Linked DNA regions of Saccharomyces cerevisiae S288C. The protein of the gene in region 4 interacts with the protein of the main gene of each other region in a biochemical or structural test. Each region holds a gene or a part of one and is shown on either strand. Other genes may lie near its edges. The genes, in order: MIG1, TUP1, RFX1 and CYC8.

The links.
Region 1: the proteins of CYC8 (region 4) and MIG1 form a complex in vitro, tested with the Saccharomyces cerevisiae proteins (2 studies listed by BioGRID).
Region 2: the proteins of CYC8 (region 4) and TUP1 form a complex in vitro, tested with the Saccharomyces cerevisiae proteins (6 studies listed by BioGRID).
Region 3: the proteins of CYC8 (region 4) and RFX1 form a complex in vitro, tested with the Saccharomyces cerevisiae proteins (2 studies listed by BioGRID).

What each region holds. Positions count from the first base shown.
Region 1 is NC_001139.9:430,271-435,332, reverse strand, and holds MIG1 (transcription factor MIG1), read left to right. Parts: upstream 1-2,270; coding exon 2,271-3,785; downstream 3,786-5,062. Other genes in the region: YGL034C (uncharacterized protein), read left to right, coding at 1,754-2,119; VIR1 (Vir1p), read right to left, coding at 4,003-5,062. UniProt on the Saccharomyces cerevisiae protein: Involved in glucose repression of the SUC, GAL and MAL genes as well as of the CAT8 gene. Binds to two sites in the upstream region of SUC2.
Region 2 is NC_001135.5:258,549-264,378, forward strand, and holds TUP1 (chromatin-silencing transcriptional regulator TUP1), read right to left. Parts: upstream 3,905-5,830; coding exon 1,763-3,904; downstream 1-1,762. Other genes in the region: SRB8 (Srb8p), read left to right, coding at 1-106; AHC2 (Ahc2p), read left to right, coding at 335-721; TRX3 (Trx3p), read left to right, coding at 1,030-1,413; YCR085W (uncharacterized protein), read left to right, coding at 4,368-4,721; CSM1 (Csm1p), read left to right, coding at 4,844-5,416; YCR087C-A (uncharacterized protein), read right to left, coding at 5,458-5,830. UniProt on the Saccharomyces cerevisiae protein: Acts as a component of the CYC8-TUP1 corepressor complex which is involved in the repression of many genes in a wide variety of physiological processes including heme-regulated and catabolite repressed genes.
Region 3 is NC_001144.5:506,584-512,715, forward strand, and holds RFX1 (Rfx1p), read right to left. Parts: upstream 3,650-6,132; coding exon 1,214-3,649; downstream 1-1,213. Other genes in the region: pseudouridine synthase CBF5, read left to right, coding at 1-1,002; YLR177W (uncharacterized protein), read left to right, coding at 4,471-6,132.
Region 4 is NC_001134.8:462,370-468,931, reverse strand, and holds CYC8 (transcription regulator CYC8), read left to right. Parts: upstream 1-3,161; coding exon 3,162-6,062; downstream 6,063-6,562. Other genes in the region: DNA repair protein RAD16, read right to left, coding at 1-1,684; SUS1 (Sus1p), read right to left, coding at 6,353-6,432, 6,503-6,562. UniProt on the Saccharomyces cerevisiae protein: Acts as a component of the CYC8-TUP1 corepressor complex which is involved in the repression of many genes in a wide variety of physiological processes including heme-regulated and catabolite repressed genes.

The DNA.
Region 1 (5,062 bases), on a different chromosome or scaffold from region 4:
CAAATTCACTTGGATAACTATCTAGCAGGTTTTGAGTCAGCCATATTAGGTTACATACCGGTCCAAACCTATATAGAGCCATTGTACGATCCGACTACAAGTTATTTATATGGAAATTAACAGATTGTTTGGAGTCACCGTACGCAGCTCACATAGATAGCTTATTGTGCAAAATATAATTAAATAAAGATGCAAGATGGATGATAACAAGAATTATAAGCAAAGGATTATTGATGTTCCGAATAATTCAATTCACTATATAACAGGTGTTGGGTATATGTATGTGATCTACCTGGTACGTGTAATTTAAAAAATAAAATAATTGGGAAAACTACGGAATTACGTTTGCGCATTGCGTCCGAAGATCAGCACCTCAGATAAAAAATCAACTTTCGCCGTGGTAGACTTCGAGATACTCTGCTAATAGCGATGCTCGATATTACTACCAATGTATGTGAAGGTTTTGATTGTATTCAATCCTTTTTCAGATAATTTACCCTTGCTTTAAGCTGCGTATATCAAGTGCATTTGCTGTCTGCTGATGTCAATTAATTGTATCAATTGGCCAGCTTCGGATAACGAACGATTATCGCGCGAGTGAAATAGACTGGGTCGACCCTTTTGAATTATCACGGCATCGCAATATCTTTGGAGCAGTACAACATTTACTTTTCTTGACCAATCCTAAGAGTTTGTATACATTTTTTGTAAACTGTAGTACGGCGTTAGAGTCAAGAAGTAGCTTATTATATCCTGTGCACAAATTTCAAAGTTTTTGCCGCCATCATATGGCTGAAAGAGGGCAGCAAATTCCATCTCGTTATTTTTGCATATCAACGCAAGCGTTACACAAGATATGGTTAGAAGCAACGAGCAGAAATTCATTACAATGACAGAAATTAATTGCCGTTGCAACATTGTTTTGCCTCTATCGCGTGTGTTTCCTTGAAGGCAGTGTATCACTGAATGTCATCAGTAATGTTACCAAGAATGAACATCCTCCAAATACTCATAGAAACCCGTTTAAAATTCGGGAATTGATGACTTCCTTATGGTAGGCAAGTGTGATTTACAGACTTTCCATGCGATGAACCCCTATTTTAATCGTATGGATCACCAGATCAAGAATTGGCAGTTCTGTCCCATTATTAGAATAGCGAGAAAACGGATGCTTTCATAATTTTTGATTGTTGCTTCATCCTATTTCACCCTATTTAATAGCCTTCTGTAGAAATATCGTGTATGGTTCCTTTATCATTGCTTAGCATAGCTGCCACTAACCTACATTAATCGACTTTTTCCCGGAAAATTAGCGGGTAATCGATTTTTCTAGATGGCATTGTGGAGGAAAGTAAGTGCGTGGGGTGTGTAAGTTGCCGTACAATGCAGTATAACCAGTAGGACTGGAAGGTAGTCAGTACAGTAAGACTAGAAGTTAGCGAGCCAGCACGTTTCCTTCGCGCCGGTTTTTTTTTTTATTTTTTATTTAATTTTTTTCAAAACTTGACGTGTAGAAGATTGACGTCTGGGGTTGGCCCCATGAATTTTTTATCTATTTCTTCCCTGTGCCTAATTCGTAATATCTCCACTGATAGCGTAAAAAAGCGCTTTATTTTTCCGAAAGTTGTGATGGCATTCCATACAGTTTATAGGATGGTAGCAAGTGATAAGAGCTTGGGGCCCACAATTAAGCAGCAGAAAAGCGCAATTGCGACACTAGCAGTGTAACTCGATAGGATTTTATGGAGTGTTGATGAATGTAGTTGCCATTATAATGGCTTCTCAGGAAACCTGTAGCGGCCGGGCCCCGCGAGAAACTCCAGAGTGGCGTAGGCCGGCTTGTTTAGTTGCTAGCATACTTGTTCGAGCTCTTGAGTTCTCCTGGCTTTTCTCCACGTGTCTGCTTGTTGCCTTTGATTTCGCGAGAGACTGCGGACTGCCACCCCACTCCGGGAAAACCTGGAGTGATGGTAAAGGCCCTGCGGCGCTTTCTTTCGGAAAAACTAATACGAAAGAAGCAACAACAAATTTTTACAACAGGCTGGACGAGAAAAGTGGGGAAGAGCAAGCAGAAAAAAGAAAAGAGAATAGTCGTTCTTGGATAATTTATTTATTATAACCCTTTTTTTTCACCCCAGTACTCATTAACGAAGACAAAGGAGAGTAAGAAAGCCCGGTAAAGCATTTCGAAGATAAGAGAGCCATTTATTCTAGCTCGCTTGTAACTACACGAGAGTTGAGTATAGTGGAGACGACATACTACCATAGCCATGCAAAGCCCATATCCAATGACACAAGTGTCTAACGTTGATGATGGGTCACTATTGAAGGAGAGTAAAAGCAAGTCCAAAGTAGCTGCGAAGTCAGAGGCGCCAAGACCACATGCTTGTCCTATCTGTCATAGAGCTTTTCACAGACTGGAACATCAGACGAGACACATGAGAATTCATACAGGTGAGAAGCCTCACGCGTGTGACTTCCCCGGATGTGTGAAAAGGTTCAGTAGAAGCGATGAACTGACGAGACACAGAAGAATTCATACAAACTCCCACCCTCGAGGTAAAAGAGGCAGAAAGAAGAAGGTTGTGGGCTCTCCAATAAATAGTGCTAGTTCTAGTGCTACCAGTATACCAGATTTAAATACGGCAAATTTTTCACCGCCATTACCACAGCAACACCTATCGCCTTTAATTCCTATTGCTATTGCTCCGAAAGAAAATTCAAGTCGATCTTCTACAAGAAAAGGTAGAAAAACCAAATTCGAAATCGGCGAAAGTGGTGGGAATGACCCATATATGGTTTCTTCTCCCAAAACGATGGCTAAGATTCCCGTCTCGGTGAAGCCTCCACCTTCTTTAGCACTGAATAATATGAACTACCAAACTTCATCCGCTTCCACTGCTTTGTCTTCGTTGAGCAATAGCCATAGTGGCAGTAGACTGAAACTGAACGCGTTATCGTCCCTACAAATGATGACGCCCATTGCTAGCAGTGCGCCAAGGACTGTTTTCATAGACGGTCCTGAACAGAAACAACTACAACAACAACAAAATTCTCTTTCACCACGTTATTCCAACACTGTTATATTACCAAGGCCGCGATCTTTAACGGATTTTCAAGGATTGAACAATGCAAATCCAAACAACAATGGAAGTCTCAGAGCACAAACTCAGAGTTCCGTACAGTTGAAGAGACCAAGTTCAGTTTTAAGTTTGAACGACTTGTTGGTTGGCCAAAGAAATACCAACGAATCTGACTCTGATTTTACTACTGGTGGTGAGGATGAAGAAGACGGACTAAAGGACCCGTCTAACTCTAGTATCGATAACCTTGAGCAAGACTATTTGCAAGAGCAATCAAGAAAGAAATCTAAGACTTCCACGCCCACGACAATGCTAAGTAGATCCACTAGTGGTACGAATTTGCACACTTTGGGGTATGTAATGAACCAAAATCACTTGCATTTCTCCTCATCATCTCCTGATTTCCAAAAGGAGTTGAACAACAGATTACTGAACGTTCAACAACAGCAGCAAGAGCAACATACCCTACTGCAATCACAAAATACGTCAAACCAAAGTCAAAATCAAAATCAAAATCAAATGATGGCTTCCAGTAGTTCGTTAAGTACAACCCCGTTATTATTGTCACCAAGGGTGAATATGATTAATACTGCTATATCCACCCAACAAACCCCCATTTCTCAGTCGGATTCACAAGTTCAAGAACTGGAAACATTACCACCCATAAGAAGTTTACCGTTGCCCTTCCCACACATGGACTGATACGCTGACAAGTTTTTGGCGGTGCAGATAAATCAAAAGACAATAGACAAGAATTAATAATATTAACAATTAATAATTAATAAATAATAAATAATAATAATAATAATAATAATAATAATAATAATAGTAATAATAATAATAATTAATAACGATAAAAATATTTAATTATGATAGTAAGAATACATATTTTGATTGTCTTAGTCTTCCGCAGAGATAATTAATTGTTCTCATTTTCAAAGTCATCTATATGTATTGATTGAGCTCTACTGTTGTTTTTAACTTTATTGTGGCCCCCTAAAATATAATTTTTACCAGTATTAACCATTTTGCTCTTATTAGTACTTTTACTGATGGTGGAACCCTTGAAATTTGTCATGGGCGATTCAATCCATAGATTGTTATTGCTGCTTCCACTAGTGTTCTTGTATGGAATTGGTGTCGTAGGTGCCGTAGTCATAGCATCGGTTGCTCTAGTTAAGGTGGTTGGTTGTCTCGTCATATTGGTATTGGTTGTGTTGAATGAATTGTCAAGAGAATAACTCTCATTCATGGAACCAGGTCCTTGTGTGCCGCTGTTATTGTTGCTACCATTACTTTCCTGAGAAATTAGGCTGCTTTTGTTGAACAAAAACCTGTTGGAAGAACATGGAGTAGAGTTTTGAGGCTGCTGCTGCTGCTTACTAACGTTAGTGTTAGTGTTTTTCGACGTGGACGGTATGAAAGATGTGGACGAGTAGACATCGTACTTCGATAACGTAGTAAAGTTTTCAATATTTTTCTGCGCAGCTGATTGTGATGATGTACAATTATCGCTTGTTGATGCTGAAGTTATTGTATTTGGTGGAGTGGATATCACAAATTGAACATCCTCAGGGAATAATTTCAGCAAGTCAGATGTTGTTAGTTTTATTGGCTTAATCTTTGGTTGCTCTTCATAGAAAAGCTCCTTATAAAATGCATTATAAACTTCAGAACCGTCATTCCACAATGTGATGTAATCTTTCAAAGCTTGGAAAGAAAGTTGATTTTTTAAACATAACTTTTTAATTAAATTATCATCATCACTTCCATCCCTAATTTGATGGAAGAACAAATGATTCAATAAGTTTATGGATATTTTTTGTAAAATCAAATCATCCAGAGAAACCTTTGTCGCGAATTTGATCAAATGATATAGTGCTAAATTTTTTTCCTTTATGACCAAATTTTCACACAATTTCAAAGAGCTAAAAAAAATTAGTTGAGAAAATAATTTCTTGACTGAGGAAGACCCGATG
Region 2 (5,830 bases), on a different chromosome or scaffold from region 4:
CACAGATGACATGGCTACAGGCAGTAATGATACGACTGCGTTTAACGATTCCTGTGTAAACCTGAGTCTTTTTGATGCTCGGTTTGAGAGGAAAAATCCACATTGATCTCAGAATATATCCAAATGGATAAATTATAAATTTACCAATAACAGTAATTATGTGTCAGTTTTAATACCCAACCAATTGATTCCTCTAAATGATACCGTACCAAATGACATGTTTGCCACCGATTATAAAACTGGGGTTTATGAGCGATGGTTAAGGAGGATTAAGACAAAGTGCTCATCCGCTTACAAGATCAGTACTAGCGTGTACCAGTCTATTTAAACTGGAATGATCACCCCAAAGGGAACGCACGATGCTGTGGCCAAGTTTCAAAAAACTGACCTGCATCAAGATCTCGATTACATCGTACTGCAACAACGAAGAACACAGCTAGAGACGCTTATTAACGAAAGAGAATCTTTTGTCAAGAATCTGTGTTCTCTTTTCCACAAAATTCAAAATACCAAGAATTACCAGGAATTTGTTGATGTATTGGCGGAGAATAGGGATTTACTGCGAGAAATTTTCACTGTAGAGAACGGATTTCAAAAGCAAAAATGGATTAGCAACGACGACATTCCCCAGATAGACTGGGACAAGTTTGCCCTAGATATCAACGCTTATATAGCAGAGAACGATCAATTGTTGGCTTTGTATGAAGATGGCTTATTATGATCAAATAGCGGCTATGGACATTTTTAAACATATATTTATATATATATACATATATGCGTATATTGCATAAATCACAAAGAAGAACAACGCCCTAGATATAGTGACCCAAAATATTATGTTTAAGTTACTGGTTGGGGTTCATGTACATTTTTCACTATCTTTTAATTCCAAATGTGGATTGTGCTTCTGCAGATTTTGTTGCCTAGTATTCTGTGATGGAAAAAATTGCCCCGATGAGATATAAAATGAGCTAGCCCCCTAACCAAAGAAAGCAGGATTGGTTAGTACATAGAGAAACCAAAGCTGTTATGTTGTTCTATAAGCCTGTGATGAGGATGGCGGTGAGACCGCTAAAAAGCATAAGATTCCAGTCCTCATACACCAGTATTACTAAATTGACGAACCTAACAGAATTTAGGAATTTGATCAAGCAAAATGATAAACTAGTCATCGATTTTTATGCTACTTGGTGTGGCCCCTGTAAGATGATGCAACCACACTTAACGAAATTAATTCAGGCTTATCCAGATGTAAGATTTGTCAAGTGCGACGTGGACGAATCACCAGATATTGCCAAAGAGTGTGAAGTGACGGCTATGCCCACCTTTGTTCTTGGCAAGGATGGCCAACTCATCGGCAAGATCATTGGAGCTAACCCTACTGCTTTAGAGAAGGGAATCAAAGATCTATAAATTTTATATTCATGAGCACATGTAGTTTTTTTTTTTTTAGTTTTAAATATAAGAAAAAAGATAGTATATATATATATATATATACATATACATATAAAAGGAAAGTAAGCTTATACAATACACAAATAAATTCATATCAAAGAATAATGAACCGCAATATTCAGAAACACAGGAAAAGGAGGGGAAGGGATGAATGGTGAGGAAAGTAACTGTTTGTTTTAAAGCGTACCTGGATCATAACATAACAAATAAGTAGATAAAAAAGAATAGAGAGAAAGATATAATGACAATGAATTGAAGAATAGTTTAGTTAGTTACATTTGTAAAGTGTTCCTTTTGTGTTCTGTTCTTAATTTGGCGCTATTTTTTTATACTTCCAAATCCTTGCTTTACAATCACCGCTACCAGTAGCAAAAACGTTATATTCTGGACCCAGCGGAGACCCGTTTGCCACAGCCACAGATATAACTGAATTCCTATGACCTTGCAACATCAATAACGGATTGCCGGATTTCTTATCCCAAAACAGGACACCACGATCTTTGGAACCGGACAAGATGTACTCATCATTTTGTGTGGTGGCCACGGACAATACAAAGTCTTTATGCCCGATATACGTAACTTCACAAGTGCCGGAATTTGGAGTTTTCGAATCGCTCTTGTTGTTTGCATTCTGCAAATTCCAGAGCTTAACAGATCTATCTAATGAGCCGGATACAACGCTTTGTCCATCTCTAGTGAAGACAACGCTATAAACAGAGTCCTTGTGGCCTGTACCGGATTCGTTTTCCGAATCTAGTCTTTCCACCAAGAATCCGGTCTCGGAATCCCAAACTCTCACAGCACGATCTAGAGAACCAGCAGCGATGTATTTACCATCACCTGGTGATACAGCGACGGTGGTAACACCATCTTCAATGGATAAAGTCAATGAACACTGGCCTGTACGTAAGTCCCAAATACGAACGGTACGGTCACCAGAACCGGAGACTAATTTGTCACCTGAGGGAAAGTAGTCCAATGAATAAATATCTTGTTCGTGGCCTTGAAGAATCATAACAATCTTTCTATTTTCAATATCCCAAATTCTAATCAGTCTGTCTTCAGCACCTGTTGCCAAAAATTTCCCATCTGGAGAAAAACACACTGAACGGATATACAAGTCGGATGATGGGGAAGACGAAGTGTTCAGGTTTTCCACATCTTTTGCCAATTCTGCTGCCGAAGTCATCGCTGTGGTAGTAATTGTGGTGGTAGTAGTGGTTGTCATTGTATTGTTATCCGTGGACGTGGTGGTGTTATTTTCAGTGATCGAATTTCGATGGTTATTGGCAGCAGAATCGTCAGATAGACGGGCCACCAGAGAACCATCTGAAACGCGATACACTTGAGTAGTTTTGTTGCAGCCTGTGGCTAAGTATTCACCATCGTTACTGAACTTCACGCAACAAACAACTGAAGTATGATCCAAAGATTTGTGTAACTCAACGTCAATTTCTCTTGGTAGTGCCGGGTTGTATAAAATATAATAATCATTTGTTTGCTTCTTCAGAGCATCGGGAACAGACTGGGAATCTAGATCCAAAAGGAAAGGTGGGATAGGTTTAGAGTGGTTTGCTCTTTGATTATAAGGGACTAAGTAGTGATCCTGGTGCAAACTAGCCGGGGTGGCGTCTTCCTCCTTAGGTTTGATTTCAGTTTCAGTTGCGGTGGTAGTGGTGGCCGTGGTGGCGGATCCGGTGTCATTTATCTTCGAGGTATTATTATTTTCCGGTTCAGTTTCTTTCAACGTAGATTCAGGTGCCTTGACAGAGGGTAAAGTAGTGGTCTCTTTAGAAGTAGGAGATCCGTTGATGGCTGTGTTACTCAATGGTGCCACGGAAACCTGGGGAGGTGGTTGCTGTTGTTGAAGTTGCTGCTGTTGCAGTTGCTGTTGTGGTAGTTGTTGTTGGGCGTTTGAGGACACCACAGGCAAAGTGGTGGTAGGCAACTGTGAGCCAACCAGATTAGGACGGCTAGCTTGTACTGGGAAGGCCGATGGCGAACCAGTAGTTGTGTTTGCTGCTGGAGTGGCGGTGGCCGAAGTAGTAGCCGGTGGTTGTTGCGCAACTGGAACAGATGCAGATGCAGCGGCTAGCTGCTGCTGTTGCTGTTGTAAATGCTGCTGGACCTGTTGCTGCTGTTGCTGTTGCCGCTGTTGCTGGACGGTCAAAGATGCAATTTGATGGTCTCTTTGCTCCAGCCCTAGTTTCAAGTGCTTGATCTCTTCTTCGTACGCGTCCTTCATTTTCCTGTGAGTTAGTTCCAGTTCGTAGACGGTGTTTCTTATCTGCTGCATCTCAGCCAGCTGCTGGTTCATTTTGAAATCGTAATCCTTTTGGTTTTGAAGACGGTAGGTATTTGCCTCTTGTGAGACTTGGAGAAACTCCTGTCTGATGGCATCGAGAAGCTCATTCAGCTTATTCTGCGTATTCGAAACGCTGGCAGTCATATTGGTTTGGATGGAAAGCTGATTTCTTTCTTCCCCTGCTTATCAAAAAAGACAAAAAAACAATAGAAAAAGAGTAGTGGTGTGCGAAAGGTAACTTGGCGTGAAAGAAAATTAAACAATTGCAGAAGGACAGATAGAGGGGCACGTGTTCAGCCAGTTGTTCTTGCTTCGCTGATGTTTATCAATTGGGGGTAGATGGGGGAATTTCTCTCTATTTGTTTACTTATGTACTTGTTATTTTGTTTTGTTGTTTGTTGCTTTGACGGGAGAGCTTTTTAATTTTTTCGCAGTTTTTCAGTGTTTTTTGAAAAGTACGAAAAATTAAGGTCCGTCGGTAGCGATAATGTAAGAGGGTTCTGTCTCTAAAAATGTTAGGGTGAAAGTTCCAAAAAATTATTAACTCCTAGATTGCTCAGCCAAAAAGAAGGGTAAATTAGGGCTTTCCTGGTTTATTTATTTGTTTATGTTGTTCTTATATACATATGTTTATGTCTTTTTATGTACAAATAATGATGTTTACAATGAAACATCTGTTATGCTATCAAAAACGTCAGCGCATTGTTTTATAGCTGAAGAAGTTACAACGGATAACGGTCTGATTTGCGGCCTGGCAATGCTTGGTAAAACTAAATATCAATTTTACGAATTATTTACTGTATATAGTATTCAGTCCCTCACTCAACTGGCGTCAAGAGTGAAGAAGGGCGGCCTCATTATGGCTCGCCTTATTCTGTTCACCCTCTGCGCTCTTCCCGTATTATTTCATTTTATTTTGTTTATGCTTCAATATCTTGTATTTGTTTACATTGAAAAATGATTGGAAAAAGGTCACATTGAAATCAAAACAGTGAAGAAGCAGACAGACAAGAAGGTCATTAGATAGATAAACAGGAACAATAAAAAAAAGAAAGCGAAACAAGACAATCCAACGTGCGCAAAATGGATCCATTGACTGTATACAAAAACTCAGTGAAACAACAGATCGATTCCGCAGACTTACTAGTGGCAAATTTGGTAAATGAGAATTTCGTACTGTCGGAGAAGCTGGATACAAAAGCAACCGAGATCAAACAGCTGCAGAAGCAGATAGACTCGCTAAACGCACAAGTCAAGGAGCTGAAGACTCAGACTTCCCAACAGGCAGAAAATTCAGAAGTCATAAAGGACCTTTACGAGTACCTCTGTAACGTACGTGTACATAAAAGCTACGAGGATGATTCTGGGTTGTGGTTCGACATCTCGCAGGGCACCCACTCAGGGGGATCTTCCGATGATTATTCGATAATGGACTATAAACTCGGATTTGTCAAGGGCCAGGCCCAAGTCACAGAAGTCATATATGCGCCCGTTCTTAAACAGCGATCCACCGAGGAACTATACTCGCTACAGTCGAAACTACCGGAATACCTCTTCGAAACGTTGAGTTTCCCCCTCTCGTCGCTAAACCAATTCTATAACAAAATCGCTAAAAGCCTGAATAAGAAAAGAGAGAAAAAAGATGAAACCGAGTAAGCTGCTACATAATGTCTATATATCTACACATAAAATTCCGATTATTCCTTTGCATACCTGATTTGCCCCTCAGAATCCACAACCAGACTTTTCAAGAAGGTCTTTTTTGCCCCTTTATCCTTCATGGTTTTCAAAATTTTGTACAACGACTTGCCCTTGTGAAGCTCGATACCGTTCGAGGTCTTTTCCACTTTCTCTGCCTTCTTGATCACAGGCTTCTCCACTTTCTTTGCAGGAGTTGCCACTGGCTGGTGCTGGTGCTGCTTCTGCTGCTGCTTCTGCTGCTGCTTCTGCTTCTGCTTCTTGTTGCCCTTGTACAACGCTTTCTGGTACTTCTCGTCCTCGCTGATGCAAGACGTGTGATTCTTGTAACTCACGCCATCTTCAAACGTCTTGGAGCAATCTATGCATGTA
Region 3 (6,132 bases), on a different chromosome or scaffold from region 4:
TTCCAAAGACCTCCTTTAATCTCTGCTGTTAAGAGACAATTACGTGTTCGTACTATCTATGAGTCAAACTTGATTGAGTTCGATAACAAGAGAAACTTAGGTGTTTTCTGGGCTTCCTGTGAAGCTGGTACTTATATGCGTACTTTGTGTGTTCATTTAGGTATGCTATTAGGTGTTGGTGGTCACATGCAAGAATTGCGTCGTGTTAGATCCGGTGCTCTGTCTGAAAATGACAACATGGTCACTTTACATGATGTTATGGATGCCCAATGGGTTTACGACAATACAAGAGATGAATCTTACTTGAGATCCATTATTCAACCTTTAGAAACTCTATTGGTTGGTTACAAGAGAATTGTAGTGAAGGATTCTGCTGTCAATGCAGTATGTTATGGTGCAAAGTTGATGATCCCTGGTTTATTGCGTTACGAAGAAGGTATTGAGTTATATGACGAAATTGTCTTGATAACTACCAAGGGTGAAGCCATTGCCGTTGCCATCGCACAAATGTCAACCGTTGACTTAGCTTCCTGTGATCATGGTGTTGTTGCTAGTGTGAAGAGATGTATCATGGAAAGAGATTTATACCCAAGAAGATGGGGTTTGGGTCCAGTCGCACAAAAGAAGAAGCAAATGAAGGCAGACGGCAAATTGGATAAATACGGCCGTGTTAACGAAAACACCCCAGAACAATGGAAAAAAGAATATGTTCCATTAGACAATGCTGAACAGTCAACTTCTAGCTCTCAGGAAACTAAGGAAACTGAAGAAGAGCCTAAGAAAGCTAAAGAAGATTCTTTAATCAAAGAAGTCGAAACTGAGAAGGAAGAAGTGAAAGAGGATGACAGCAAAAAGGAAAAGAAAGAGAAGAAGGACAAGAAGGAAAAGAAGGAAAAGAAAGAAAAGAAGGACAAGAAGGAAAAGAAAGAGAAAAAGGAGAAGAAAAGAAAGTCTGAAGACGGTGATTCTGAGGAAAAGAAATCTAAGAAATCTAAGAAATGATTCTCATCACTCCATCTCATCCTATATATTTAACAGCTTTCTTTTTTTCAAAAAACTTTTTCTATTATTAGATTAGATTTTTTTTAGTGTGTATATTAATAACGTAAAATTTCTTTATCAACGACTTGTAGTATTCTTTTACTTTTATTTTTTTTACATATGCAACGTTATATTCTTTTTTAAATATCCCCATATACTAATGATAGAACTTTTAAACTTTTAGGCCATTGACGAATTTCATGACTTCAAAACAGTAGTTCAGCAATTGGCCCATGACATTATTTAGAAACAACCATGATAGCAAATTCTCATTTGATTTTAAGCTAATATCGCCGATTATTGCATTCCTGAATCTTGTGCTGCAATCAATTAATTTCAAGCACGAAAATTTGCTTTGTAGGGAAATAAAGGAACAAAAATCTTTAATCATTTCATTTAAGGACTTGCATTCGATAGACACAGAGGGATCATTGCTAACGCTCATAGAGGAATTTAAGAACTTTGTTACGAAAACTTGACAGAACCCTTGTAAATGTTGCATTATTGTGTTTGTCTCTGAATTTGTATCGTCTTCATTAATCATCATTTCCAAAATATCGTCTAAATTTACAATATTCTTCCAGTCATTATTCATGCCACTTTTAAATATAGGAAAACTTTTCAAGAAGTTTAGAATGAATTTTAATAACTTTATTAGTTTTTTCACTAGTTTGGTAAAATTATTAATAATTGATAACTTCCTTTGCACTAGCGCTTTTGGTAATTCTAAAACAGCCTTATTAATTTGTTCGGGCAATAGCTTGATCATACTTTCCAGTTTTTGAATGATTGAGTCACTGATCTCATTAGAATGAATTATAAATTGTGAAAAAAATTTGATTAACCCTGTATAGGTGATTAAGTCACATTTAGTTACCCAATCAATCAATGGCTCAGAAATGAATAGATTAAACATCGTGGGCGATATAGAGTTAGAGTTAGAGAAGAATAATGCATTTGATATATTATCACTCTTCAGAAACTTGATGCATTCATAAACGGAGTTGCAATGGATATGATATAATGACTCCAAGGATGATATAACATCCGAATCAGTGTCTGTGGGGAGTACACCTGCGGGAATTTTTGGGAAGTCTAACTTATATGATGTCAAAAGCGGATGTTCTGTGTTCGATAATATTTGGGTATTATAGTTATCTGATAGCTTGTCATTACAATTGAAAACTTTTTCAATTAAATCATGAGTGAAAGTTAATTCATCTGAAGACAGTGTTCCGGTAGGGTTATTTGCCGCTGGTGGCAGCGAATCTAGTTTATTTGCTTCTGTTTCGTTTGGATGCTGTGATTCGAGTTCTGGTTCGTTAGGGTTGTCATTACTACTCTGTTTAACGGGCGACCCAGTTCGAGAAAGACTTTTTCTATTTAATGAGAACGGCGATGAAACGTTAGGTACCTGCGGCGAAGGTGAAGAGGGCGATGGAGACGATAGGGGCGATATGGGATCGTTATTGTGTACTAAGGATAACGAAGCATTGTTGTTATTAAGGGACACGGAGCCGCTTTCGTTGACAGTTAGTTTCAATCCGCAGTAGTGGTATTTGGATTGACCTCTCATACCCAGCCTTCTAGTCGTTAAATCAGGAAAAACTGTTCTTATCAACTTCCCTAATGACGCCTGTGATAAGGGCTTCAGGTTGTTTTGGGAACAAGATGAAGCGTATTGAGCAAATATTTTGCCTCTTGGTACGTAACTATCGTGCTGAGATTTACAATTTTTCATTAACCAAAGTAACGCAAACACTTGTCTTTCTCTTTCTCTGTTTTGTTCCGCCAGCTGCAAAGCTGCCTTTGAAGTGTTCTGTGAGTCCATGCTCAGGACTTTGATTTCTGCATGCTTCACGATCTGCGCATACTCCTCGATGGTTTTAGATTTGTTATTTTCTGCAATTTGCTTAGCAATTATTTCTTGCGTGTTTCTCCTTGAAATGGAAGAGATTCGTTTCTCTTGGCTTGTTTTCTGTTTTTTCGTACTGCTTGGAATTGAGGGGAAGGTATTGGTACGTTTGGCAGCAGTAGGAGGATTATTGTTTAAGGTTTCCTCTGACTTGAAAGAAAGTGGGTAAGCAGATGAATTCGATCTATTCAGGCTGATAGACGCTGGATACACTGAGTATGTGGCAGGTTGCCGTTGTGTTGCGGGTTGTGCAGGAGGCTGTGTAGGGGTAGGAGATGGTTTATGGGAGCCGGGACCACTACCGATAAGTGGCGGTAATATTGGATTTGGCGTCTCCGGGCGGGGGGAACTTTGGTGTAGCAGGCTGTATATTGACGATGATTTGCTCGCTATGGGCGGGATATTCACTGACATGGGGGGCAAATAAGTGTGTGATGCTGGCGGTGGTTGGCTGCTGTACTTGGGTGCGTTTAAACTGTACCGATTACTGTTTACCGAAGATCCGTTACTTGGACCGTTGCTATTGTCGTTCGAGCCCCGACTAGTAGGTTCAATGTTATTATCACCGGACATGGGCAAATAAAATTCAAAATAATGAACAGACAAAAAACTAGGCGAGAAGATGAAGTACTTGGCAGGTATTTTTCTAGTGAAAAGGTTTTCTGTTGGTTTGCGTTCTTTGAAGATTACCATTTACTGCTATTTTTTTTTTCAACTTTTTCCCAAATCGCCATGACAACACGAAACGACAGGAGAAAAATTACGAAATCAAAAACAGGTTCAACTGTTGCAGCAATAGACACCACAAACGTGCGCAAGAAACCGCAACGAAGGGGAGGTGACCGTGCTTGAAATAAAATCCGAAGATCCATAGGTGAGCCACGAGTTTGATTCCAAACTCGTGGTTTTACCAACGAAGCTGTATATCGTGGAGTGGCGCTACCATTGGACCTTCGTTTCTTCTTTCCCTCTTCCGCACCGTACCAGATAGGAAAAACCGCACCTTCGTTTTTGCATACCTAGATGGTCCTGTAACAAGAATAGAGCTAAAGAAACAAGTATGCGTCGACTGCTGCCACGCCCGGCTGATTTAGGTGCACATCAGCTACCCAGCATACAAAGGGGCTTCCGTACGGTTGATGGTTATTTTTCTTGGTGTGTTGGTGCTGCTGTATCGCTGGTGCTGTCTGCGTTATTACGACTATCGTAGGACAAGGCCTCGAGAGGTGTAGGGTAAATCCCACTTGCACAAAGTATGTACACACTTGATTATCCAAATACCAAGAGAGTGTGGTTCAATTTACGGGCAGCTCGAGCTGCCCGTAAATTGAACCTTCCCCTTCCCCACGCTCAAGGGGTTCCTGCGCCGGTGTTTCAGGGGCAGGACACGCGGGGATCGCTGGCACAGTATATAAACAATAAAAGAACAATGGAGAGAGGAGGCGCCATTCAATATCAGCTCACTAGAGTGCATAGACGTATAGACACAGGAATAAAGATAGAAATAGGGTACCATGGAGCTGCCTTCAATAAATAGCACCACAAGTATATCCGACAACCAGGAGTTAAGGAATTACTATGACAAGTTGCTGTTCAAGAACAATAGTGGCAAGTCGCTAGCGGATTTGCCAGGAAAAATGGCAGATTTTAACGACAACAGCGCTGCTGCGCATCCCCGCTCCAGAGTTGACTTTATCAACGGTTACATCGGTTTCAGAGAGGATAAGCAGTCTCTTCTGGGGCAGAAGAACACTAAAAGGGCCTCGTTCAGCGCATTTGCGGACGAAGGAAGGAAACAGAGCGAGATGAGCATTAACGGGAAGAGCCCTAATTTGTCTCTTTTCTCATTTGAGTTTAACGGCACCCCGACTCAGGACAGAAAGCCATACAAACAGGATTACTTGAATGTGATGAACACTTCGCCTAACAATATTCTTTCTCCCTTAAACAACAGCTCCCAAAAATACTATCCACAGAAACAGCAGCAGCAGCAGCAGCAGCAGCAGCAGCAACAGCAACAAAGCATCTTTGACCCGGGAAGAAGATCTTCCTATATTTCTGATGCGCTGATTCATGGCAATGCGGCTACCCAGCAACCACAATACTCGCAACCTGTATATATTAACAACAACCCATCTTTGCAAGTACCATACACTGCTCCTTCCGAGTATACTCAGCAGCAACAGTACTCGTCACCCTTCAATGCTAGGCGCAACACCCAGCCAGTGCTGAACTTGCATCCGGCAGCCGCTCCCACAAACGATGCCGGATTGGCGGTTGTCGACGGCAAGAATTTGACGTCATCCAAGGAGCTGCATGACTTATATCTTGACTGCGGGTCAAACTATTTTGCTAGTGATAAAGTTTATAAATTTATTGACAGCATAAAGGGAACTTTACGCGGGGATAATGTCTCCGCCTCCAGTTCCAGGATTATAGAGTTTTTGGATTTTTTGAAAAATTGTAATCTGAATTACAACCCACAGTCTGACGCATTCATCTCCACTGCTGTTTCAAACGCTTCGTCGACCGGGGCGGCCAAATCCAAGAACAGCACTTCAATGCATTTGCACTATAAGCCATTAGTGTTAGTATCGTTGAAAAATGGTAAGCTCGAACTGTTGTCTAAACCACAAACGGCCACACTTATACTGAAAAGGGGCGATTTGGTCATTATTGATGGTGATCGTGGTAAAGATTTAGTTTTGGTGGTGGAACCGGTTGTAGATATAAATTTGGCACTATTTATAAATTTTTTGAAGAAAAAAATTCACTTTGATTCTCTAATCACCAATAGTCAACAGCATTTCCCCAATGACCAGTTTATCAAGACTCTGGTTGATACAACCAATGGTAAGCCGGTCGCTCATGAGTTGAATCCGAAGTTATATGATATCATTGAACTAACGCAATTGATCATCCCATCAAAGCAGGTTCTGAGATTTGCCACCCCGTGGGAATCCTCCACGAATTTACACAACAAATTCCAGGATGAGCTAAAGGCTCTTCACATTGCACAGCTAAAACTGAGGTCGCTAAATAACAATAACTCCGGTGGCGGGTTGAACATCAAAATATTGAATGCAGAGTTCCAATTCGACAGAAAGAAATTGACTTTCTACTACATTTGCCAGGAGCGTAATGATTTCAGAGACCTGATCAAAGAACTCTTTAAG
Region 4 (6,562 bases):
TGATGCATAAACGACAGAACTTATGGTGACATTTAGATTCAATGGGCTCCTCAGCTTCATCGTTACATAATTGGCAGATCACGACGCCGATATCATCGCCAGGAAAATTGTTTAATCTTTTCAAAACTAAATCAGGATGATCTGCCAGTTGCCTCATTCTTGTGATTAGGGTGAAAATGTTTGCATAATTGTTTAGAACAACACCCTCCTCAACAAAGGAATTATACTTCCTTTTAGAATCTGTGTATAAACTTCTGTAAAGATCTTTTTCCTCTTCATTGAAGAAGTCTCTCCTCACGGTAACAATTCTGGGCGGTAGACCCAAGTCATCCGCTCTTTCCACTTTAGTTCTTCGCAGCATGATGTTTTTCAATAATGTCTGAATGTTATTAAAAGACTCTAAACCAGGACCTTCCACACCAAATTTCTGAATGTTCTTCAACATGAAATGGTTGAAGAAATTCGTGTGTTGCATAATGACGTGACTACAATGGTCACAATGCATGCGATCCGTAAATTTCCAGTCCTTCGAAGCGCAATCACACTTGGTACAAAAGTACTTTGTGAAAGGATTGATATTTAAGAATCTGATCAAAGAATACATCTCACCAATTCTATTTTGCAGCGGAGTACCCGACAGGCACCATCGCTTTTGCGTTTTTAAGTTGTTTACAGCCCTAGCAGTATTGCTTTGTCTATCCTTGATATTGTGTGCCTCATCCAGAATAACTCTATAAAAGTCAATATTATGCAATACGGAAGGCTGCTTGAAAAGTCCATTTTTCCTTCTAAACCCGTAGTTTTGCTTTCTGAATACCGATTCCAGCACTGCGTAAGTGGTTAGTACAACATCGTAGCCTTGCAAATCTTTGATATCCGTGGTTCTGGAAGCACCGTGATAAATGTATATTTTCAGTTGTCCCTTTGTATGTTGTTCTATTTCGTTTTTCCACTGCATCAGCGCCACGGTAGGGGCAACAACTAAAGACGGAGACTTAGTCAAATCGTTCATTAATAGGGCAATAGTTTGGATGGTCTTACCCATACCCATTTCGTCTGCCAAAACACCGCCCGCATAAATGCTCTCCTCTTGAGATATTAGCCAATGAAGACCTTCTAACTGGAAAGGTAGCAGTTTGATGGTCATACCATCCGGCTGCTTGGATCTTTGGGGGACATAGGGAGGTGCATTTTTCAAATCCGTGAAAACATTCCTTAGTTCAGGATGATGCTCATATAATCGCAAAGTGTTTCTTTCATATGGGGTTACCTTCGGTGACTTTTTCTTGGTGCTCGTTTTTTTCTTCTTCTTCCTAGCAGTTGTCTTCCTTTTCTTTGTTAACGGTTCGTCGTCATCCGAAACATCACGTTCCTCCTTGATTTCTATTATCTCGTCATTATCATTCTTGATCGCATGAGTATTCTCATCGGTGGCGGTCCGCTCTTTATCTGAACCTGTTAGGTCTATGATAAAATCTTTGTCATCGTCGTCGGGTGATTTCACGAGCGTAGCATCATCACGGTATTCTTCATCTTGGCTGTCATTTACGTTTTCGCTGTTCCCTTTCAGCTGCAGAGTTTTTGAGTTTTTCACAGCTGTATCGTCATCGCTTAGTTCATTATAATTAACACTTTTTTTCGTACTTCTCGTACGCCTTCTACGGATAAAGCCCCCTTCTTGCATGATTTTTCAGTTGGTACACCAGTTATACGGCCAAGAGTATCTAAAATTACCAAAACTACTAAGGTTTGAAAACACCACGCAGCATTACGTCGTTATACTGTCGGTTTTATTAGTCCTTAAGGTCCTATCTGTGCATTTTTTTTATAGCGTTAATCCGAAACTTGAAAAAAAAAAGAAAAGGGAAATGAAAAGGGAAGAAAAAGAAACGGAGGCGCAGGAGGAAGGAGGGGGGAAAAATAGAAGCAACGCAGAAGTCCCCACTGTTTCCCTGGCAACCATGGCGGGAAAAGGGTAACAGATTTTTTCGAGGAGTAACACATTTTGTGCTGTGTGGGTTGGTAGTTTTGGCGGCTAAAAATCAAAGGGAAGAGGGGATGTACTACTTTCAAACCTTCTCACTTTTTGTTGATTTTGAGTGCTGTAAGGATTGTGGTTTAGGCATTTTGACAAGCTCCTTAAAATCTAAGCGTCGGAACAACTGACGAACTTTAAAACCATAAACTCAAAAACCGGTCAACATGAAACCGTTACGGTTTCTCGGTATCCTATGCTTTAAGCTAATGAAACATCCACATAACGAAGATAAAAACTAAAGCACATCCGATCTGAGTTTTGAGCTGGGCGGCAAAAACAAAACTGTCAGTGGCTGGCTGATACAGGGCACGTGAGAGGTCACTGAGGACGAAGGGTGCGGCTCACCCGGATTGGCTGAGTCACCTTCATCGCGTCCACGTCACTCCTCGTTCGCTTTTTTTTTCCCTTTTCTTCTTTTGTGCACCACTCAGGGCACGAGAAAAGCTTATTTTTTTCGTGCACACTCCGTTCTTAGTGGTTGTTCCACATCTTTTTTGTGCTTGTGCGTTTGCCAATGCTAAAATGGAAATTGCCTTATAACGTGGGCCATGTCATGCCGTGTCCTCTCGTTTCGTAAAACTTACCACACGTACCGGACTGTTCCGTCCTGTCTCGTATCGCACGGGTGCCGTATCGGCTCTAATTATTTTATCTCTCTATTTTCTTTCTTTTCTCTGCGCTACTCCTTTCTCGATCGTTGCTACTCCCGTCGCTAGCCACTGGTCTCCCGCGTACTGTACTCCATCTTTTTTTGGCGTTTTTCCCCTATCCAACTCGAACAAGGTTTGTTTAAATTTATTTTATTTTTCTTTTCTTCGGTCGGTCGTTCTTTTCCCTTCCGATTATCAAAGCAAAAGCGCATTTTTTTCTTTGTCTTTTTGTTTTTTGTTTCCTGTTCTCTGTTTTTTTACAAACCACGTCAGGAGTTCAATTGAGAGAACTAGAATCAACAAAGCCAAATACGACAACGTCACTAGTCTTTGAACCAGAGGCGTATTCCCGTTACCTCTTTTCCCATATTTCTGTTTTTCTTTTTCACTGCTATAAGCCTTTAGACTAGTACTACAACTACAACAGCAACAACAACAAACAAAACACGACTGGAAAAAAAAAATTAGGAAAAATGAATCCGGGCGGTGAACAAACAATAATGGAACAACCCGCTCAACAGCAACAACAACAGCAACAACAACAGCAGCAACAGCAACAGCAGGCAGCAGTTCCTCAGCAGCCACTCGACCCATTAACACAATCAACTGCGGAAACTTGGCTCTCCATTGCTTCTTTGGCAGAAACCCTTGGTGATGGCGACAGGGCCGCAATGGCATATGACGCCACTTTACAGTTCAATCCCTCATCTGCAAAGGCTTTAACATCTTTGGCTCACTTGTACCGTTCCAGAGACATGTTCCAAAGAGCTGCAGAATTATATGAAAGAGCACTTTTGGTAAATCCCGAACTATCAGATGTGTGGGCTACTTTAGGTCATTGTTATCTGATGCTGGATGATCTGCAAAGAGCTTACAATGCCTATCAACAGGCTCTCTACCACCTCAGTAATCCCAACGTACCGAAATTATGGCATGGAATCGGCATTCTTTATGACAGATATGGTTCGCTCGACTATGCCGAAGAAGCTTTTGCCAAAGTTTTGGAATTGGACCCTCATTTTGAAAAGGCAAACGAAATTTACTTCAGACTAGGTATTATTTATAAACATCAGGGTAAATGGTCTCAAGCTTTGGAATGCTTCAGATACATTCTCCCTCAACCTCCTGCTCCCTTGCAGGAGTGGGACATATGGTTTCAGTTGGGTAGTGTTTTGGAGAGTATGGGAGAGTGGCAAGGTGCGAAGGAAGCCTACGAGCATGTCTTGGCTCAAAATCAACATCATGCCAAAGTATTACAACAATTAGGTTGTCTTTACGGTATGAGTAACGTACAATTTTATGACCCTCAAAAGGCATTGGATTATCTTCTAAAGTCGTTAGAAGCAGATCCCTCCGATGCCACTACATGGTACCATCTCGGTAGAGTGCATATGATTAGAACAGATTATACTGCCGCATATGATGCTTTCCAACAAGCTGTTAATAGAGATTCAAGAAACCCTATCTTTTGGTGCTCAATCGGTGTTTTATATTACCAAATTTCTCAATACAGAGACGCCTTAGACGCGTACACAAGAGCCATAAGATTAAATCCTTATATTAGTGAAGTTTGGTACGATCTAGGTACTCTTTACGAAACTTGTAACAACCAATTATCTGACGCCCTTGATGCGTATAAGCAAGCTGCAAGACTGGACGTAAATAATGTTCACATAAGAGAAAGATTAGAAGCTTTAACAAAGCAGTTAGAAAACCCAGGCAATATAAACAAATCGAACGGTGCGCCAACGAATGCCTCTCCTGCCCCACCTCCTGTGATTTTACAACCTACCTTACAACCTAATGATCAAGGAAATCCTTTGAACACTAGAATTTCAGCCCAATCTGCCAATGCTACTGCTTCAATGGTACAACAACAGCATCCTGCTCAACAAACGCCTATTAACTCTTCTGCAACAATGTACAGTAATGGAGCTTCCCCTCAATTACAAGCTCAAGCTCAAGCTCAAGCTCAAGCACAAGCTCAAGCACAAGCACAAGCTCAAGCACAAGCACAAGCACAAGCGCAAGCACAAGCACAAGCACAGGCGCAAGCACAGGCACAAGCACAAGCACAAGCACATGCACAAGCGCAAGCACAAGCACAAGCACAGGCACAAGCACAAGCACAGGCGCAGGCACAACAACAACAACAACAACAGCAACAACAACAACAACAACAACAACAACAACAACAACAACAACAACAACAACAACAACAACAGCAGCAGCAATTACAGCCCCTACCAAGACAACAGCTGCAGCAAAAGGGAGTTTCTGTGCAAATGTTAAATCCTCAACAAGGGCAACCATATATCACACAGCCAACAGTCATACAAGCTCACCAACTGCAACCATTTTCTACACAAGCTATGGAACATCCGCAAAGCTCTCAACTGCCACCTCAACAGCAACAACTACAATCTGTTCAACATCCACAACAACTTCAAGGCCAGCCTCAAGCCCAAGCTCCCCAACCTTTAATCCAGCATAACGTGGAACAGAACGTTTTACCTCAAAAGAGATACATGGAAGGTGCAATCCACACTTTAGTAGATGCCGCCGTATCCAGTAGCACCCACACAGAGAATAACACAAAGTCTCCTCGTCAACCAACCCATGCCATTCCAACGCAAGCTCCCGCAACAGGAATAACGAACGCTGAACCACAGGTAAAGAAGCAAAAGTTGAACTCTCCAAATTCAAACATCAACAAATTAGTAAATACTGCTACTTCCATTGAAGAAAATGCAAAATCTGAGGTGAGCAACCAATCGCCAGCAGTAGTGGAGTCTAATACCAATAATACTTCACAAGAAGAAAAACCTGTAAAAGCAAACTCAATACCTTCAGTAATTGGCGCACAGGAACCTCCACAGGAAGCTAGTCCTGCTGAAGAAGCTACCAAAGCAGCTTCTGTTTCTCCTTCTACAAAACCGCTTAATACGGAACCAGAGTCATCTAGTGTCCAACCAACTGTATCATCAGAAAGTTCAACAACAAAAGCAAATGACCAAAGCACTGCTGAGACCATAGAACTTTCTACTGCTACTGTTCCTGCAGAAGCAAGCCCTGTAGAAGACGAAGTAAGACAGCATTCTAAAGAGGAAAACGGCACAACTGAAGCATCTGCACCTTCTACTGAAGAGGCGGAGCCAGCAGCTTCCAGAGATGCTGAAAAACAACAAGATGAAACCGCTGCTACAACGATAACTGTAATCAAACCTACTTTGGAAACAATGGAAACAGTGAAAGAGGAGGCCAAAATGCGTGAGGAAGAGCAAACATCTCAAGAAAAATCCCCACAGGAGAACACACTTCCAAGAGAAAATGTAGTAAGGCAAGTGGAAGAAGATGAAAACTACGACGACTAAAAAGTTTGCATTCAAAAAATTAATCTACTAATTTATAATCAACGAGAAATGTTGTGTAGCTCACAATTCATTCATTATGTTGTGGATACATATATAAATAAAGAAAAGGCTAAAAAAAAAGGTGGGTAACGTGAATTAGGTTATTTTTCATATATGCACATGTAAATATATGCGTATATAAATATATTATTATTTGTATCATTACATACTTAAAATCTATTATTGCTTAAAAGGTTTTCCCGATGAGCATATGTAATAATATTGGGAATTAAGGTGCATTTTCGTATCCTTCATTGTGTATCTACAATCTCTTCAAGAAATTCCCTTATTTGCTTTAAAACGGTTTCCCTTGTTGAATCCGATACCATTTCTAGAAAAAAAAATTCCACTGTTAGTAACGTTCTCTTTTCAATAAATTTAGTGATAAAATATTCACATACCTAATGCTTTGGGTTCTACGGTGGATAAAATTTGGGTAAAGTTCGTAGATTCATTTATGT